Linked DNA regions of Coturnix japonica. The protein of the gene in region 2 interacts with the protein of the main gene of each other region in a pairwise test. Links are inferred from orthologs where the notes say so. Each region holds a gene or a part of one and is shown on either strand. Other genes may lie near its edges. The genes, in order: SH2D4A, SH3GL1, MAL2, MTA1 and FAM102A.

Region 1 (3,514 bases), on a different chromosome or scaffold from region 2:
GAATCCCTAGTTTTTCAAAACTAGCTAAAAAGCAGGACTAAAACTAGCCTGGGACAAAGCACTGAACACATCATTTCTTTCACAGATGAAGGGAGGACACAGGAGAAATTCAAGAGAAGAGACTACAGTCCAGCTGAAGGCAATACCACAAAGCCATGTACCACAAAGCCATGCATGCTCAGAGAAGACGTTGCAGAAATCTGATGAGAATGAGCCTGAATGGCAAGAATCCTGTAAGATCTTAGGATGATCTTTTGTAAGAACTTTTCCTATAGGGCTTGAGAAATCTTAGAGCTCTGAGTGGTCATTTCAGTCATTCTCCTGCAAAACTGGAACTCAGTATTTCTCAGTTAGTAGGTAGAGAGTACTGTCAAAAAACACAGAGATGCAGCATCAGAAAATTTTCCGAGTCCACACAGCATTGAAACTAGAGCTGGGCAGTGAGATGGCAAATTTATCCTACAGAAAATTCTCCACTTGTAAATATTTCCCATTTTCAGTCTCTTCTGTATTTCGATTAAAGAGCTTTTGTTTTTAATTGAAAGATAATAGATTTAAATATTAAGCAATGTCAAGCAGAATGAGTCTTGCTGGCATTTGACAGCCCTCAGATACCATATGAAAATGATAGGACCCACATGAGCGTAGCCAGGGTAATTAATTTTAAACTAGAAGTAGGCCCTTGGCAGAAACTTGAAGTAGATGTTGCTCATGTGGAAAAGAATAATAGGTAGTGAGGACAAACTAAAAGGCATAATTTCAAAAGCACCTGGTTGATAGCAAACTTTTCAGACATCAGAAATGAGTGGGGAGGGCTTTTGCCACTTACTTAATTCTGTGCAGAAGATCCTGAGGCCTGAGTAAGGCTCCTTCTTACACAACAGAACTGTATTGTGGTGAGGTAAGCTGATCTGAGACCTCAGAAATAATGTGAAAGATGAAAAAAAGTATTGCATAAAACACAAAAAAGGGGCCACTCCAAATCTCCCTGCTTTCTACCTTCCCTTCCTTGAGGTAGGACTTGATGATCTTGGAAGTCTTTTCCAACCTAAGCAATTCTATGATTCCCTGCGAGGCACAGTCCTCTCATCTGGTTCCATTTCAGACACAAAAAAATCTCATTGATCCAGAGCCCTGCCACACATTGCTAATGTAAAGATTTAAACAACTGGATCAGAAATGACAAAACAGTGTAAGACTTACATTAACGTCTACCACTGCTGCCAAGTATGTCCTGAACTCTCTACTTAAGTTATTACGATGACTACATTTCCTTCTAGGATCTCTCATAGTAACCACATACCTCAAAGGTGATTTTTCAGTGTAGCCTGAGTTGAAAAGATATTTCAAACTTGACTCCTTTTGAGGGAATCTTGCTGTGCAGCTTTCTCAGAGACTGGAACAAAGGGTCACAAGCTTAGTACACAGAAGATATTGAGATACACCCTGACACTCTGTTTGCCTTTGTTTCCATCCAGGTTCACGTTCTGCTCCTCACATCTTCCTTTCCTGGGGAGAAAGAAAACTGAAGTCAAACTTGATGCTTTTTTTTCCCTCACTGTTCAGTAGATGGCAATACTGTACTATCATTTGTCTCCACTTTAGGCCAAACCTTTTTTGTTTCTAATTAAAAAATTGAATTTGATTACAAAAGCACAGAAATCACTAAGCATAGCTCAGGCTGGAGAGCCAGTTACTCAACAAAAACAAACAAACAATAATATCCAGCTAAGTTCTCTACTCCACAAAACAGTTACAGCAACACTCCCTTCTCTTTGCAAGGCCCATCAGGATTTTCAAATCCTTTAGAGGATTCATTAGTGGTCGTTTCAGCAATTTTTTTGCCTCCCCGGTCTCCTGGAAATAGAAACAAATGTTTTTGTTCATGTATTGCTGTGGCTTTTCCAACATTATCTTACCACATGCAGTGTAAGATCTCTCTAACTCCTGATCTTATCAAAATTGCAAGGACTGCCTCAGTGCACAAATTAAAATGAAAGGCTGAAGGGCCCTTTGCTTCTCCCATCCTCCTTTCTCCCACCCCTCCAGCTTTTCAAGAAAGACATAATGGTACAATTTGTAATTGAGTGAGGATTTTAATTTGACAAAGTAATTGTGCTTCCCTCCTCCCCCCCCCCCCTCCCAAATTTCATTCCAAAAAGTCTGTGGGCCAGCTGAAAACATTTATTTACCTGATTGGATAACTGTTCCTTCTTGCTCAGGTCTCCGCTCACACAAAAGGCATCACAGAAATTTATGACTGAACCAAGTCACATGAAACAAAACCAAGTCATTTCTAAGTACAAAGTTAGAACCCAGATTTTTATCTGTTGAAGGAATAAGAATTGGGTTCTTTTAAAACAGTAGATGCCCAAAAGTGATGGGAGAGAGGTAACAAACGTTGTTACAGATAAGTGAATCTTTCATTCAGTGGCCAGAGTAGCTGAGTCACTCAAGGCTTGCGAGGAAGATAAATGACTTCCAATACAAGCAACCTAAGATGCCTGCTTGGAAATAGAGGAGAGGAAGTACCTTAGTTCCAAAGCTCTCTCCCTCCACAGTAACACTGTTTGTTCCTAGTGCTGGGACACAGAGAGAACCTAAATGCTCCGAAATGCGTTATTTCTCACCTCCAGCTATCAGAGAGATGGCTAAGCAGCAGCAAGCTCAGAACTTGCCTGCTTGTTCACTCCAGTATGACTGCTTTTCTGTTCCAGTGCGGAAATCCAAGGCAGCAGATGAGAAGAGACGCTCCCTCGCACGACAGGCCAGAGATGACTACAGGAGGCTTTCACTGCAGGGAGCCCACAGAGGGAAGCAGGCAGACATATCCAAGAACGCCACAGCAGGAGATCGGCGACCGCTCCAATACCCTCCTCTCCCACCCAAGCCTAAACTTCTACCTCCTGTGACGACGAATGGCAGAGCAGTTAGGTGAGAAAAATGTGCACTGTTGAAGGGAAGGGAAAGGGGATGAGATACTTCTGCTCTGGCAAGGGCTGGTTGAGATGAAGATGCCTGTTCTCTTCATACAGAGGAAACACTCTACTGGGAAAAATAAGAAGGCTAAACTATATTCCAGCATAGGGTATGAAGACTGTGGCACTAAAAACAAAGACAATGGCACATTTACTGAGTACCAGCATCACAAGATTTGCATTGCTTGCTTTTGCCCAACTGAGAGAAATGTCCCTAAATCATGAGAGCTGCTAATCAGCAAGCCCTCAGGTCCAACACCTCAACTATCTCAGTTGCTCCTAGTCACCATTCTCTTAGCTCTGCCTTTCTTAGCCATCTCTCCAAACACCCAGCCTCTCAATTATACTGAGCTCGTAGAGGTACAAGGCATTTTCCAACAGTCAAGTTCTCTTTTTGCCATATGTGAAAGTCAGATTCAGTGACAAGTTTATATAACAGAACACCCTAAGCCTAAAATATGTAGTACGTCCTCTTTGATAGGTGTCCACTGAAAACCATACAATTTTGTTCATAGCTGCATTACTGTAAGCCTTCT
Region 2 (4,182 bases):
CCTGGGTGTCCCTTGTATTGTCACTGGGCACCACCAAACGTAGCCTGAGCCCATCCTTCTGACCCCTTCCCCTTGGATATTGATTAGTACTGATCAGATCCCTTCTCCAGTAGGGACGGCTGTGGGCTAACATTAAGCTGGCCATGTCCCTGGCTCACATCCTTGCTGGCAAAGGAGGGAACTTGCATTAGTTTGTCCTCTTGCCTGGCAGATTTGGGACTGTTGGAATGGAGATGGCACACAGTCCCTCCTTCTTTCCTCCTGAGATGAAGCCTCGTAGCTTAATTAGAGCCAGCAGGGAGAAAACCTCAGTCTTATTCTTCCTTCACAGCAGGGCACCAGTAGCATTTCTTGGATGTCAAAAGGAGGATTAAATTAGCCTGCAAGCGAATTTTCCTCCTTCACATCTCTGTGCTCTCTGAGAGAGTGCTAAGCCTCCAAAATCACTGTGGTGATCACCGTGTACAACATGGCATGCAGTCCCTGATTATGGCAGAGCTCCCCATCAGAGGCAGTATTTGCAGCTTTCTGGGCTGCCAATCTGTGGGTGGGTGGAGAAAAGCAGGGATGGAATTACTCCACTTAATTGTACTCTTCTCAGGTTTATTGCAGAGGGAAGGATCTTTCTGGAGGTGCTGCTCTGGGCTGTGTAGAAGCCCCTTTCTGGTCATGGAGGCTGCATAGCGAGCTGTCTTTTGGCATAGAAGCACAAGAGTGGGTGGTGGCAGCTGGGAGTGAGTGCCCACACAGGGTCTGGAAAGCAGAGCAACCGCTTTGTGGTTTATTTTCCCTGCTCCATAGAGGAATGTGTACTTCCCCAGCTCAGAGCTGGCAGGCAGAAGTGTGTGCTGGCACCCCAAGCACAGAGCAAAGATCCAAAAAAAGCAAGAATTCAAGTTTTGGTTGTTTGCCCATCTGCAGGCAGCTCTGCAGTGATAACACCCCTTGGAGCCCCTATTGCCTCCTGGCACACTCTGAATCCATAGTCCTGCACTTCCCATGTTCTTTCAGGTGCTGGAAAGAAAGCTGGTGAGGTCAGGAGGGCTGTGCATGGACCACTGTGAGGCTGCACACACAGAGGGATGTGTGAAGATCCATCTGGGCATCCATCTGAAAATGAAATCCAGAGTTGAGAGCTGGGCTGGATGAACCTGGAGAGCACTGACCCCAGTGTTTAAATGCCCAGAGGAACCACAGCGATCTCTTTGTGAAACATCTGAGGTCCCCAGAAAGAGAAAAAAGCCCTTGCCCAGGTGAAGTGAGGCCCTGAAAGGCTGCTGCCTTCTATCTCAGTTCTTTCAAACTCTTGCTCTAAAAGGATATTTTGGCCTTGGGATGATTTATGCTACTGTTGCTCAGTGCAGAGCTGTCATTCAGAAGAGCTGTCTGCTCTCTAAGCCTCTTCCCTGTAATGTCTGCGTGCCTTGAAGCTCTGAGCAGCTGCAGATATCCATCCACTGAGGCACGAGGAGCATATCAGCCATAGCAGTCAGTGCTCAGCCCAACACCTTGGTTTGCAGCTCATCATTTGATTTTGGAACTAAGCACTGCCCAGTGAGTGCAGTCACACGGACCTTATGGGGTATCTCTAAGTGCATTTGGAACTGGATGTTTGCCTAAAGAGTTTTTTTTTCTCCTTGTCCTCTAACAACTAAGGAACCACTGAGTCCCCATGGGCACCACAGGAAGAAAGACTTGATAAAATCAGGTATTTGATGTTGAAGTAAACAAACCTTCATTGTTTGTCCAGAGCTGGAGTTTTGACTACAAGCACGAGGAATCCTGGCAATGGCCTGTGGCGGGCATCAAGAGCTTGGGAGGCAGCAGCCATTTCCTAGACCACTTTTGATATCTGTGGAGGTAATTTAGTGTGCACGGACCCATTTTGGGGCCTGGCAGTTGCTTGTGGATGTGTTGCAGGTAGCTCTGGCCAGTCTATTGAACCCCAGGTGTTGCCTTGCCACGAGGGAACAGGGCAGGAGATATCCCCCTCCATTTGGGTTGCATGGAAGGACACTTCTTCAGTTGGATTTAATAAAGCACTTTTGACACACGTCTTTGAGCTCAGGAAGGCGAATGGTGAAGCTTTGGGAAGAAGTCTTTTCTTACACTAAATGGCATTTTGAAGCAAGCCGATAAGCCCTTCATGCAGATAGCCAAAAGCAACCCTGCCTTTCCAGCTGTGTCAAACATCTCGTGTTCACTTTGTTTTAGAACAGACGTCAGAGATACCTTGATAATTGGATCTGAACGTTTTCCTGTAGCTTCTGTAAATCTCTTTATCCTTCTCTTTAAAAAAATCTTGAAATACAGAGCCCTAGATCCTAAGCTCTCACCATCTGGATTGCAAGGAGTTGTGGTTTAAGGCTTTGAGTGGTTCTTTCTGAGCTTAGTTCTTGTACTGGCTGCTGCAAGCAGAGTATCTTAATTCCCTGTTTACTTGCATTTTGCCTTGTGTGAAATTAAAGTTGAGAGACAATGCTGTTGCTTGCTTTTCCCAGCAAGCGTTGGAGTTGGAGCTGTGCTTATGAATTTAAAGAGCTTTGTAGCTTCTGCCAGGTGGGGAATATCCTGCCTATGTCTGAAGGTTCAGCTGTGGTGCCTTGGGAGGGTAGGGGACATTTAGATTGTTTAATGGGACAGTGTTAGCAAAGAGCCACGTGTTGTTACCATGCTTTGGGCTGTTCCTACTGCCTCCTTTCTCTTGCAGGCGCTGTCTGGACCACCCCTGTTCTCTTTCCATCCCCAGGACTCTATACCTCTCTGCATGAGGTAAACAGCCACTACCATGCCTGATTCTTCCTGCCTTGTTCTTTTTCTGCAGCTTGTCAGTGAAAAGGTTGGAGGGGCAGAAGGGACCAAACTTGACGATGACTTCAGGGAAATGGAAAAGGTGAGCAAGAGATAGGAGAAATCCCTAAAATCACCCATGTCACCTTCTGTGACCTTGCCAAAATCCTGAACTGATCTTCACTGCTGCTGGATCATCTTGTTTTCCTACAGAAAGTGGATGTGACCAGCAAGGCAGTTACAGAAGTACTGGCCAGAACAATAGAATACCTGCAGCCAAACCCAGGTGAGTGGTGGGACCTCTCCTATCCTTTGCCTCCCAAAGAGGGTAAGAGGGAAATAGGCAGAAGGTGCAGAGAGACCTCAGAGAGAAACTTCACGACCTTGAGGTGTGCCACCAAGCCCATATTTGTTATCAGGTATTCTGCCTACCTTTACCTGATGTATGCTGGGCTGTCCTGTACATTTCCTGTGGCTTTCCTAATAGTCTGAGCCTAATGAGGTCCTACCCTAGCTCACAGGTGCTTTGTGATTGTAAAGCCATCTCGACCAGTGATGTATTTCTGGGCTGAAAGACACTGCTGTTGCTGTCAAACAGTGAATAAAACAGACAAATCTTTAACGTTGGATCTAGGAGAGATCTGGAGGGGACCTATTTTTACCAGGGTGTCCAGAAAAAATATAATCTCTGGGTTGGGAAGAGTCGGTTGGCTTTGTAACCACCACCTCCAGAGCCTGCTGCCCTGTGTGTTTCCAAGCAGCTTGTTCAGAGAATGCTCCAGGGACTATGGGAGGGCTGGGGAAACTCCTTTGGCCTTCACCAGTTAGCTGTAGGGATCTATATTTGTTTGCTGCCTTGGAAAAGAAACTTTACTTTTCGTAGCAAGTGATATTTCTGGTAGATTATGACAATAGCACTTCTTGGCTTTGGGAGTCACTTAAAAAAAGTGAAGTGCTGGCAGTGACCAGCAGCTGCTGGCAAGTCCAAGCAATTACAAACACGGCTGTGGCTGTTTCTTTGCCAGCTTCCAGAGCCAAGCTATCCATGCTGAACACAATGTCGAAGATCCGTGGGCAGGTGAAGAGCCCAGGCTATCCACAGTCAGAAGGGCTGCTGGGGGATTGCATGATCCGCTACGGCAGGGAGCTGGGCGAGGACTCCAACTTTGGTGAGTGCCCCGTGGGGCTGCTCCCTCCAGGAACGTGCAGATGAGACAGCAAAGTCCGGTGCCAAATTTCCAAGCTGTTCCTCTGGATTCCTAAAGGGCTCTATGACCCTTTGTATCACTTAGCAGCATGTGCCTTTGGTCCAGGCCAGTAACGAGTGCCAGATCTATAGCAGTCTCAGAGCAAATGCATGGCAGCGGCTGTGCCTCATTTCTTAAACCAAAA
Region 3 (3,514 bases), on a different chromosome or scaffold from region 2:
TGTCCCCTGTTTTTAACCTAAGCCTCACTAGGGGAGAATTCTGTAAGCTCCCACTTTTAGCTTTAAAGTGATCTGAAAAGGTCAGCACACGTGCTTGTAGATGAGTACATGCCTCTTAATTTGAAAGAATGCAGGGTTTGGGGAGAGGGAGGGCTGCCCTTTATTACTAATTATGTTGAGTTGCTTATAATTGTAGGCAGTTATGAAAATATGTTGTGCTTAAGCATTGCTTATGAACGATTATTATCACTGCTTGTTTCATGTTTCTGTGTTGGATTTCATTTATGCTGAGACTAGAAGGGTTAGATATGTATAGCAGCCTGGACTGAACCTGTTGTTTGCTTTTCAGGACTTCCTTTTCCATGGTGCTACTTTTGTCTTTTATTTTGGAGCTTTTCTACTGCAAGCAGCAACTACATCCCTGCATCACTACCCTCGCAGATTAAATTCCACCACATCTGTGACTATTCTGGGTGATCATGAATATAACATAAGCATAGCAGCCTCGGTATGTATTTCATGAACTTGTACCTAGCAGTGGAATTCTGATGTAAGCACTGGTAACCAGCCTTTCAACTTGGGAACTGCGCTGGAATGGGAAGAGGGATTGTGAGGAAGAAAATAGTCTTTGAAAGCAGCAAACATTCTGGAATAATCAGCCATTCTTACAGTGGCATGCAAAAAAAGTGCAGTGATCTGTTAATGGAGCCTAACGAGATAGATGCTTAGATGGTACTGTTTACAGTAGTGTTTTAAGTCTGTGATTACTACAGAATCTAGTTTTTAGGTGAGATATTTAGTAAAAATAATGCTAGGTATTGAAATAGAAGCAAAAGATGAAAACTGAGCCTTCATCAAAGTGTCAGGTATGACTTTCAAGCCTGCTCTCAAACTTGTAATTGCTTGGGTGTTTTGATACCTTTTAGATAGTCCTGAGCATGCCATAGGGAAAAATGTTGGACTAGCTCCTTATAAAGCTCCAGGTACATATTTTCTGATGTCAAGCATAAAAAGCAGCTGCAAGGGGCGTGCTATCTCCTGTGGCAAGGATTAGAGAGCTTTTATTAATCAATAAAGCTCTCTAAGCTAAGCTCAGATTGCCTTTTTATCACTATAATTGCATCATCACTGAATCACCATATCTGGTGATGTGTGTGTTCATTGCTGAGTCAGAAAATACACAGACCTTCAGCTTTCTCCCTAGCTGGACTCCTGAATGGCAAGTAGTGGTGTGCCAGCAGAATTAATTGGAAGAACTGAAACTGCTGCTTGTTTTGTGTTTTGGGTTGGTTGGTTGGTTTGGTTATTGTTGTGTTTCTGAGTTTGGGCTGTGGGATTTGTTTGTTTGTATTTGTATCTTCCAGGGCATCTCACATACTTAAAGGAACTTCCTACATTTATTAAGTTTCTGAATCATTTTGGGGGTATCTCTTGTCTTCAGAACTAGATAACCGTAGATTTTACACAATAAATACCTTCAGCTCATATTAGAGTGGGTCAAAATGAATGAACCCAACGTCTAAGAGTTACACCGTTTCTTCAAGATTAGGAAAGAAAGGCCTTGTACTTTGGCAAGCTAGGCTCTGAAAGAGTGAATTGAGTATGTCAGTCTTCAAGACACAAATTCCTCACCATTACCCACTTGCCTGTGACATAGTCCAGCACAAATTCCTGTATGACCATGGCTGGTAGACAGATGATGTCTCTCAACTGTGTCTAAACTGGTGGAGAGCTTTGAATTAATTACATGTCTCAAATTCCATACTTCAAAGTAGCTCCGCAGTCCTTGTTTCAGTGTGTTCAGATCTTACTTGATACGTGGTAACTCATGTGTCTCTCCAACAACAAAGTACTGAGGAATACAAAGACTCTTTACCTCTTTCATACTCTCCTTCTTTTCTAAGAAGAGTTCAGTACTTCACAACCCTTGGATCTTTGTTCAGATGAAGTAAGAGGATGTGATTTTGTAACTCACCTTATCTGTTAATTAAGAGATGGTGGGAGATGGTGAATCAAATGATGTAGTTTTTAGTATCTTCTTCTTTTTTTTTTTTTTTTTTTTTTTTTTAATTAAAAGTACCTGATTAGGAAGTCAGAGCATACAAATAAACAAAAAGTGACCCTTTGAAACACATCAGTAAAACAGTCTACAAACAAATAAGATAAGGCCTTGCTAACTTTTCCATCTGAAAATGACTTTCTAGTTGTGTATACTGCAATTAAAATGTATCTTTTGCTTTTATGAATAATACTCCTAGGATCTATTCAAACCTTGATTTATCAAATCAGTGCATGTGTGGAATCAAGGTTGTTATCGTTGGATCAAATCTATATGTTCTAAGAGAAAGTGTCCTTGATCAGTAGTGGACAATATGAGACATTTTTGTTACTTCCAACTCAGTTTCTAACTTCTCCCTTCTTGTTTATGTTACATACTCACTTTTGCCGTGGCACTATCTACAGTTCTTATCTGTTCATTTTCTTGAGCTGTAGCATCTTCCTGACATTTCTCAACAATCTGTCATGTCTTTTTCTCTGGTTGAAGAGGCCCAACTGTTTCTTTCTGCAAGTAAAAGGCTCTGCTGTTTGGAGGGACATCTCGTTCATTGTTTGCCAGTAAAGGCATTTACCTGGATACTTTCTAATGAAATACTAATCTTAGATTCTCAGTCTAGATAAGAGGAAACTGAAATATCAAGCGCTTAATTTCTACAATAACACACAACCTCTTCTGTTTATATCCTATGTCAAAATATCTTCAGCAGCTAGCAGCTAAGATAATAACAATAAGGTGGGCTTAAAACAGAGTTTATGAGAAGGCTTCAGATGATACCAGGTCTGTCTTTACTACTGGGGGGGTACCTTTTGAGTCGTTTGTGTTGTTACACTAATTTAAAATAGAAAAAAATATGTAGAGCAATATAATGTGTGATTCACTTTTTTTCTCTTCTTTCTCTTTTCTCCCTGCTCATCCTTTAGATTTTTGCCTTTGCAACAGCTGTTTGTTATGGTTTCAGCACAGCCCTGGCTTTGAGGAGATGGAAGCTATAGCAGTTGAAGAGACTTTGATTCCCAAGAGTTCAACTTCAGATCAAATTAAGTACTACTTGTCTGTTTTACTGTAATGTAATTCCAAAAAAGACTTTTTGCTTAAAATTCGTTTCCAAGTGCTGAAATGCAAATAACCCTTAATCAGGATTTCTTTAACAGAAGGTTCTGTCTCTTCCTCTTTTTTATTTTTTACTTTCTTTGGGAACTCCTTAGAAACGTTGTTTGTTGAATTGTAATCCAGAGTTCAGAGATAAACAGATGTTACAAGCAGATAACCGAATTCTGGTGCTAAACCAGAAGAACAGGAAGAAAACTGAAACTAAACAGACATGTTACCTGCATAGGCAGCTAAAAGAGCTACCCCCTTGTTAAGGCCTAGGATTGAGCTCTACGTGTGCTGCAGCATTACAGTGTGTTCCACACAGGTAGGACCTTGAGGCTCTTTGTAGAGTCATTGGTCTTA
Region 4 (3,514 bases), on a different chromosome or scaffold from region 2:
AAAAGCTTTCTACTATATATAATATGGTAAAAATGTAAGCTAGTAATACTTTATTTTCTGTTTTTGTTCTATTTTTAGGATTTCTTCTTCTATTCACTAGTGTACGATCCTCAACAAAAGACTCTACTTGCTGATAAAGGAGAAATCCGAGTTGGAAACAGATACCAGGCAGATATAACAGACTTATTAAAAGAGGGTAATTTCCATAATTTAAGTTGTCAGGAGGCCATGTGGAATGCAGCCACTTTTATGTATGCAGCCTGTGTGGGAGACAGAGGTTCCTACCACCACGTCCTGTGTGCATCACTGCTTTGGTTTGTTAGGGACTGAAGCAGTTGCCCACTGCATGCAATTAGTTGTGTCTCAGCCCAGGCTCTAAGCGGGCATTTGTCCAAATCATAAAAGTTGTTGAAACAAATTGAATTAATTGCCTCTCTCAGAGCTTGCGCTCATTTTAGGAGATTTCAGAATTTCTATGGGAAGCACAGATTTCCATCGCATCTGTATAGCCTTTGTGTTTTTAATCGAGCCTCGCTTCCCTGTGAGAGCCGCTCCCAAATTATTGCCAATTAAATGCTGTCTCCCCACATCAATTTGCCCATTATTGCTGGATGCCTTTTCCTCAGAGCCCCCTGCCTGTCTGCTGCTCTTGGCTTCCAGCCTAGACTTCTCACCTGCAGAACAAGCAGGAGGAATTTGCTGCCTTGAGCACGTTGTGAGACCTCAGCCTGCCCTGCTCATGAAGCAGAAGGAACACAAGGACACATGCTCAGGAAAATGGGCTGTTAGTTAACAGATACCAGCTTCACACTGGTTCTTGCACTGCAATGGGTGGAAGAGCTCTTCTCTGAGACCTGTGTAGGGCTCAGGCCAATCTGTTGATGCTCTCAGAGAGCTGGTGTTATGAGCCATGTTGAAAGGGGCTCTACAAAACTCCCCAGGCAGAGAGGTGAAAGCAGTGAGGCACCTCAGTCTGCTTCAGAGCTTTGCAGATGCATAAAACAGATACTGTTGGGCTAATGTTAGAATAAGCCAACAAATTGGTTGGGACTCTTGTTTAATTTGTCTGTGGCATTTATTTGGCAGCTGGGCTGGCCTCCTAAGTGAGGATGAACTAATTTGAAAGGCATTCTCCTCCTTCAGCCATCAACATGGGAATTCAGAGAAGGATAATCTCCAGATGTTTCAAAAGGGGTTTGAAATTAAAAAGAGAGACTCAGCTCCTGTATTTTTTCCAAGATATTTTGGTTTGTTTAGCATTGGGAGAGTAGAAGTAAAAGAATCTGATGCTATGATTTGCCCCTTAGAAAGCAGCTGCTGCAAACAGGGCCAGCTACCCTTTGTCTGCTCAGAGCAGCTGGGAGTGTGCCTGCTTTCCTGGAACTGCGGCCAGGTAGAGGAGAAGGAGAGAGAATCAGGGGAGGAGGCTGAAGAGAGGAGGCTGTTTGGGGGAAGGACGTGCTCTGTTTCCCATCACTTGTGCCATTAGATATCAGCTCTTCAGCATCCGGTGGCCTAATTTGGATGAGTTGGGTTGATGCATCTGTCAAGCTGAAATTGTCTCAGCCAAATGGATGAATGAAATTTTCACTGTCAAGGCAGAGTATCTGAGTTGATTTGGTGGTTAAATAATTGTGAGATAAGAAACCAGGCAAGTAATTTTATTTCCAAACAGCCACGCTGAGCGTTTCTAACATGTTTTTCAACCAGGTGAGGATGATGGAAGAGATCAGTCAAAACTTGAAACAAAAGTTTGGGAAGCCTTCAACCCACTAGTAGACAAGCAGATAGACCAGTTCTTGGTGGTAGCACGGTAAGAGCAATTTATCACTTCTTTGAATAAGGTTTTAGTAACTCATCTTTTCTAAGCACTTTATTTTTGGTGTGTTCTTTATACTTTACTGGTACGAATGCTGGTTTGGTTGCTTGATTCATGTGTTTCATTTTGAAATGATGGACGTGTTAACATGCCTTCCTGGGAACTGCATGACTTTGTGAACAGCTACTTGGATTTACAGCTTTTACTTTCAAAAAGTTAATCATTTTCTTCTATCTTATGTGAAAATGATCCTGTATCTGGTGAGGTTTTCCAAGTTCTTTGGCCAGCAGTGAGCTGAATTCCTGACAGTTCATTAGAGTCCACTTTGTCCCTTTTTTCAAATCCAGCCACGTTTCAACATGCGATGATAGTTAAGTTGTAATAGTTAAAAGCGAAGATGTTGGAATCTAGGCACTAGAAAACAGGTAGAACGAATAAAGTAAATCCCTGCAAATGAGTACAGATGAGGAGTGGATGAGTACAGATGAGGAGTGGTGAGTTTTATGCTTCTACTTAAACGCAAGGCGGTCTGTCCATCAGTGTTTGCTTTATAAAATGCTTGTGACCCTTTTCAGTGTTGTTTGTTTATATGAACAGAAGCTGATACTAAAAGTTAATGTCTACAATTAAACAAGGAGGTAGTGCTCTCCAAACTGTCTCCTGGGTAAGTTTTTAAGACTGCGGAAGCATGGGAGGAAAGCAGTGTGAGTAGTAGATGGTTAGTTAGACCATCTATAGTCAGTGGAGCAAGTTGCTATTAGATATGGGGAGGAAGGGGGTGTGTTTTCCCCCCCCTCACTCCGCACACACATCTTGAGTTACCACACTGCTGAACTTTCCTCTTGAATTTTCTTGGGTGTGGTATTGCTGTGTCTATAGTGGGTTAGTTAATGGGGTGTCTCCTGAGGAGATAACATGAGAGCTCATGTGGAAGAAACTGTCTGGAACGGACTCTTAATTCTGATTGGAGCTGTTGAATGATGCAAAAAGAATGCATTTATGAAACAATAATAAATGCTTTCAACGCGTTGAATGATACAGACTTAGGAAAATACTAGGGGGAAAGAAAAGGGCAGAGTTAAGGAGAATTGAGTTAAAATGTGGAGATTTAAGTGTGCAAGACAAGAAGTTTCTGTGCTCCATAAGTAGTGCCTCCTCTTTATTTCTATGGAAACTGCAACAGATACAAAGAGCACAATAACGCTGTTTGGTAGAGCAAATTCTCAGCTGCAAAATGCTGTTTTTCAGCATAGTCACCACCATTAGCTATGCATTTTTTCCAGCAATGAACAAGAGCCTGTGTGTCACGCTCATAGAAATCTGCAGCAGCAGTGGTGACCCACTGTTTCACAGCTGCTACGATGGTGGTGTTGCTAGGAAAAAAGCGCCTGTGCAGCCCATCTTTCATCAGCCCAAATAGATGGAAATCAGAAGGTACCAAATCTGGACTATATGGTGGGTGTGGTAGGACAGTCCAGCCAAGACTGGCAGTGTGCTCCACTGTCTTCAAACTGGTATGGGGCCTGGCTTAAGGCTGTCATCTTCTCTGACCTGACTGTGGATATTTGAGCCTTCAGCTTAGTCAGCATGGTGATGTAGCAGTCAGAGCTGATGGTATGTCTGGCTTTCTGGAAATCCAGAAGGATCACCTATGTCGTGTCCTACAAGGCAGTGCACTTTACGTGCTGAGAGCTG
Region 5 (4,141 bases), on a different chromosome or scaffold from region 2:
GCATCCCATCCAGGCAAATATAACCTATTTAGAAGCTGAGCTCTTACCCAATAACAGAAGACACAGAAAGCAAAAAACCAGCCCATTTCTATCAGTGTCCTGAGGCCCTGAAAACACTGGGTATCAACTGATGGGATGGATTCAGGCACTGCCTTTAAAAGCAGCCTCCACAAACAAGTATGGAAACACTGACATCTCCTGCAATGGTTTCACTGCGCCAACGCCAGCAATGCTTTCCCAGGCGTAGGTTTGTGTCTGTTTAACCTGGTGAGCAAGAACTCTGACAGCGTTTGCTCTAATCCAGCCTTTATCTTCCATCCACACATGTTGCCGTGTACTTTTCCTAGCTGATTTTCCTTTTAAAGGCTCGCTCTGCGGTAGCATTATTTGATAGCTCTGGTATTGTCTGTATAGATGGCAGAGATTAAAGGGAAGGAATCTGGGCATCAAAGCCTGGCAAAGCGAGGGATCCCAGGCTCTCATCCAAGCTTTGCCAGACATGCAAAGCAGCGTTGGGAAAAGTCCCTACCGTGTGAGTTCTGTGCAACACATCCCTGACTTTACAAATAGGCAAATCACGTCAATGACTGCAGCCTCCTTCAGGACAAGGAGAGACATTTTGTTCCGCTTGCCCTTAAACAATGGAATCCTACCTAACCAGGGCACCCAGCCCCGAGCACGGGACGGGGCAGCAGATGGAATAACAGGAGGGAAGCACAGTTGGCTGATGTGTTCTGCTGGTTACCACATCTCACACGTGGAAAGTGAGTCTGGTTGGGCCTTTCCTTGGAGAGCTGCTGGTGAAGGAGGCCAGGCTGCCAACCTGCAATGCTGAGGAGGACATAGAGATATCAGAGCTGCCATCACCTCACCTGCAGCACACAGGGAGGCACAGACACTTCACCTCAGGCCCAGCTCCATGGGCACAGGCCTGCTGTCCCCTCAGCGAGCCCCACGCACCCCACAGCCGCCTAAAGAGCTGTTTAACCTGAGTGAACGCACATGGGCCGAACCGATGTGAACCAGAACCCTCCAAACGGCCAAACCGATGTGAACCAGGACCGCCCCAAACGGCCACCCCGACCCGCCCGCTGTGGAGACCCCGAACCCACTACGGAGCCCCCTCGTCCCGCCCACTCCCTCAGCCACGGGGGCGGGGCTTGCCTTGAACCGACATCCACCTCCTCCAATCCCCGCCCTGTTTTCCCCCCCCGCTCTAGAAGAACCAATCAAAACCTCGCTCTTCCCGTCCCGCCTCTTAAATGCTGCCAATCAGGTGGCGCGCCTCTCGTCCTCCCCTCCCCCCGTCCCCGGGGAGGAAGGGGGGTTACGTAGTGTCGGGTTGGTATTCACGAAGCGCGGTAGTGCTTTTGCGCTGTCGTAGGGCTGCCTGCGGCGTTGGCGTAGCGGCCGCAGTTGGCGTAACTCTAGTAGGGGCGGCTGTGGCGGGGAGCAGCGGCGGCCGAGCGAGGTGAGGGCAGGAGGTGCGAGCGGGGCGGCAAGAGGGACGAGGGGCCGGGATGGGAGCTGGGAGGAGGGCTGAGATCCCACTGCGGGTCTAACCATTGGGTAAGGGTTGGGAGTGGGGCTGAGAGCTGGCCTGGGGGTGCAGGGGACAGGCTGCGAGCTTGGGGCAGCCGAGTGTGTGGGTCTGAGGCCTGGGGAGCTGAGTGAGGGGGGGGAGCAGGCCGAGACCCGGCTCAATACACGGGCAGCACGGCTCAATACACGGGCAGCACGGCTCCTGGGGCACAGCGGGTCTCTATGAGCCTCCCTGCTCTCCTACAGCAGCAGGAGTGAGGTTATAACCGCGTATCCCTGCAGGCAGCTTTGCCCTACGTAGCCCTGCTTTGCAGCTCTCAGTATCGGCTGCTCGGTGTTTATAGCCTCGTTGCTTTTTGATGCTAATAAGCCCTAAGCCTCCATGGCTTGGTTGTTGCATAAATATGTAGTGAAACCACTGTTGCTGGCCCCCAAAGGGAGTTATTGGGTCACTTCTTGGTGCAGAGCTGATGCTGTAAAGCAGTTCAGCTCAGTGGGCCTGGCAGATGGACACCCGATGACCTGATTTGGTTGTTGTGCTGTGTAATCTGGAGCAGGCTGCTTTTTCTTTCTCTTTTCCTCCTCTGCTGGTTTCTCTGTTTATGAGATACAGGTGCTAACACTTAGGGCTGGTCGGAAAAACAGAAAAGAAACAGACTATGCGTTTCCTGAGACAGAGTTACGTGTGCTGGTTAGACTGATGTGGGCTGTAAACTGCTTCAGAAGATGACGGGTGAAAATAGAACAGATTTTTTATGAGCTGCTTTGCAAAACAGGAATTATGAGGGGCATGACAGCAGCGAAGCTTGCCCCAGGCAAATGGGGGAAAGAGGGTATTGGGACCTGGCTAATTGGGGCCATACCTCTTAAGATTGGCATGAGTCTGTGCTGAATATTACCCATCCAAACAGGTTTTAGAGAAGGAGGAGGAGCCTGAGACTGCCTGGGACTAATTTACTCATTTCCCTCCCAAAGGCTGACCTGAGGACCTGTACCAAGGTGTAGCACAGGAAGAGGAGAGAGAACCTGGAAGCATTGTGTATGTGCTGCACACAGACCTAAGGCTTCTTCAGAGACTCACGATGATTTCCTACAAGAGATGCCTTCTGGAGGGGTCCTGCTGAAGTCGGGGCATTGCAGCCTCTAACTGGGACAGCTCCTGCTGGTCTGGAGCTGAGACTTCCTTATCACCCTTCCTTTTCCCTTGGAGATGTTGCAGAGATTTAACCTGACCTCTTCCTCCTCACCTGAAGCCTGTCGTGGCAATGATCCCGCAGCCAGATCCGACCACCAAAGAGAAGAAGATCGTGCATTTGAGGCTGGGCCGTCGTTGTAACTGAACTGGAACTCACTCCCTGCTTACGCTCCAGGAACAAACGCTGTTCCTTTCCTTGTCTGTGTGTGTTTTGAGCCACTCCTCTCTCATCTTGTTTGGAGTTCCTGGGCTTTCCACGCTGAATTTGCCCATGGCTTTCCTGATGAAGAAGAAGAAATTCAAGTTTCAGACATGTTTTACTCTCGAAGAGCTAACTGCTGTCCCCTTTGTGAATGGGGTCCTGTTCTGCAAAATCAGGCTGTTAGATGGAGGTGACTTTGCTAGCTTATCTACCAGGTAAGAACCTGCTTGCAAATTTTCTTCCTGGCCATTCTTTTTATTTTCGTGATTATTCTTCACTCAAGTGCTCTGGCATATGGCTACCACTTGCCTATTCCTTGAGCTGTTTTCACTTGTTCTGTTGGGGGCCCCATGTGCCGTATCATTTTTCAGATACAGGGAAGAACTAAGCTTGGAGATTGTTGGCTGATAGAGCTGCGCTGTGATTTACAGAGACATGGGGAGGGTGTAGGAGGTCTCACACTTGAAGGAGTTGGGTTTTCTGGTTGAAGTCCACATAAAAACACCCTCCTTCCATGTTTTCATGTGCTGTTTTAGGTGTTGTGCTGCCCTGCTTTCGTGCAGTGCTCGAAAATGAACTCTGTAGGAAGCTGCATGTATAAAAGCAAATCACCCTCCCCAGCTTTGTGCTCTCCGTGTGTTTCAAAGTTACTTTTCTTGATAAGAGTGTCAGGAGCTTGCTTTGCATTGCAAATTGCTGTGCAAGGGAAAACTGCTGCCTGGAGTCAAAGTTGTCAGTGCTAAAGATACAGTTTATCTCCATGAACAAATAGCATTGCATCTCCCCAGTTTATAGCTGCAGTGTTTTCTTTTTAATGATTTATCGTATGGGTATCATTCTGCCACATGGTTTATAAGGTTATTCTGTCATCATCTATCGGCGTTTCTCAGGCTCCTTCAGGCAGACCTGCTACTAATTGCTAATAATAAAAACCTGCTTTGTTTCCAGCTGTGCACATAGATTATCACCAGCAGTATGCAAATGTGAATTCCATAGCAGCCTGGACTTGCTTTCTTTCTGCCCCAGTATGTGAAGGAAACCTTCCATGGCATTCAAACTTGTTTTTTAACTTCCCTGAGTAACTACTCAATTTTAAAGGTACAGTGTGTGCTTATGTTTGCTGGTAAGTGTTTTAGACCAGAACTAAAACCTGGTTTGGTCTGATTTTCCTCTTTGTGGTGCAGTGCATTGTGCTTTCTCAT

Evidence for each region.
Region 1: the proteins of SH3GL1 (region 2) and SH2D4A interact in binary tests that used the Homo sapiens proteins (3 or more experiments, as listed by UniProt). The two-hybrid records come from large-scale screens. The link is inferred for Coturnix japonica from reciprocal best matches to the Homo sapiens genes SH3GL1 and SH2D4A.
Region 3: the proteins of SH3GL1 (region 2) and MAL2 interact in binary tests that used the Homo sapiens proteins (3 or more experiments, as listed by UniProt). The two-hybrid records come from large-scale screens. The link is inferred for Coturnix japonica from reciprocal best matches to the Homo sapiens genes SH3GL1 and MAL2.
Region 4: the proteins of SH3GL1 (region 2) and MTA1 interact in binary tests that used the Homo sapiens proteins (3 or more experiments, as listed by UniProt). The two-hybrid records come from large-scale screens. The link is inferred for Coturnix japonica from reciprocal best matches to the Homo sapiens genes SH3GL1 and MTA1.
Region 5: the proteins of SH3GL1 (region 2) and FAM102A interact in binary tests that used the Homo sapiens proteins (3 or more experiments, as listed by UniProt). The two-hybrid records come from large-scale screens. The link is inferred for Coturnix japonica from reciprocal best matches to the Homo sapiens genes SH3GL1 and EEIG1.

The regions. Positions count from the first base shown.
Region 1 is NC_029519.1:30,066,575-30,070,088, forward strand, and holds part of SH2D4A (SH2 domain-containing protein 4A), read left to right. Parts: intron 1-85; coding exon 86-233; intron 234-2,717; coding exon 2,718-2,934; intron 2,935-3,514. UniProt on the Homo sapiens protein: Inhibits estrogen-induced cell proliferation by competing with PLCG for binding to ESR1, blocking the effect of estrogen on PLCG and repressing estrogen-induced proliferation. May play a role in T-cell development and function.
Region 2 is NC_029543.1:1,611,417-1,615,598, reverse strand, and holds the start of SH3GL1 (endophilin-A2), read left to right. Parts: upstream 1-1,373; 5' UTR 1,374-1,788; coding exon 1,789-1,860; intron 1,861-2,824; coding exon 2,825-2,893; intron 2,894-3,003; coding exon 3,004-3,076; intron 3,077-3,815; coding exon 3,816-3,959; intron 3,960-4,182. UniProt on the Homo sapiens protein: Implicated in endocytosis. May recruit other proteins to membranes with high curvature.
Region 3 is NC_029517.1:122,955,382-122,958,895, forward strand, and holds part of MAL2 (protein MAL2), read left to right. Parts: intron 1-349; coding exon 350-508; intron 509-2,979; coding exon 2,980-3,051; 3' UTR 3,052-3,514. UniProt on the Homo sapiens protein: Member of the machinery of polarized transport. Required for the indirect transcytotic route at the step of the egress of the transcytosing cargo from perinuclear endosomes in order for it to travel to the apical surface via a raft-dependent pathway.
Region 4 is NC_029523.1:3,943,567-3,947,080, reverse strand, and holds part of MTA1 (metastasis-associated protein MTA1), read left to right. Parts: intron 1-78; coding exon 79-196; intron 197-1,710; coding exon 1,711-1,813; intron 1,814-3,514. UniProt on the Homo sapiens protein: Transcriptional coregulator which can act as both a transcriptional corepressor and coactivator. Acts as a component of the histone deacetylase NuRD complex which participates in the remodeling of chromatin.
Region 5 is NC_029532.1:3,586,139-3,590,279, forward strand, and holds the start of FAM102A (protein FAM102A), read left to right. Parts: upstream 1-1,332; 5' UTR 1,333-1,484; intron 1,485-2,453; exon of another isoform or gene 2,454-2,517; 5' UTR 2,518-3,008; coding exon 3,009-3,154; intron 3,155-4,141. UniProt on the Homo sapiens protein: Key component of TNFSF11/RANKL- and TNF-induced osteoclastogenesis pathways, thereby mediates bone resorption in pathological bone loss conditions.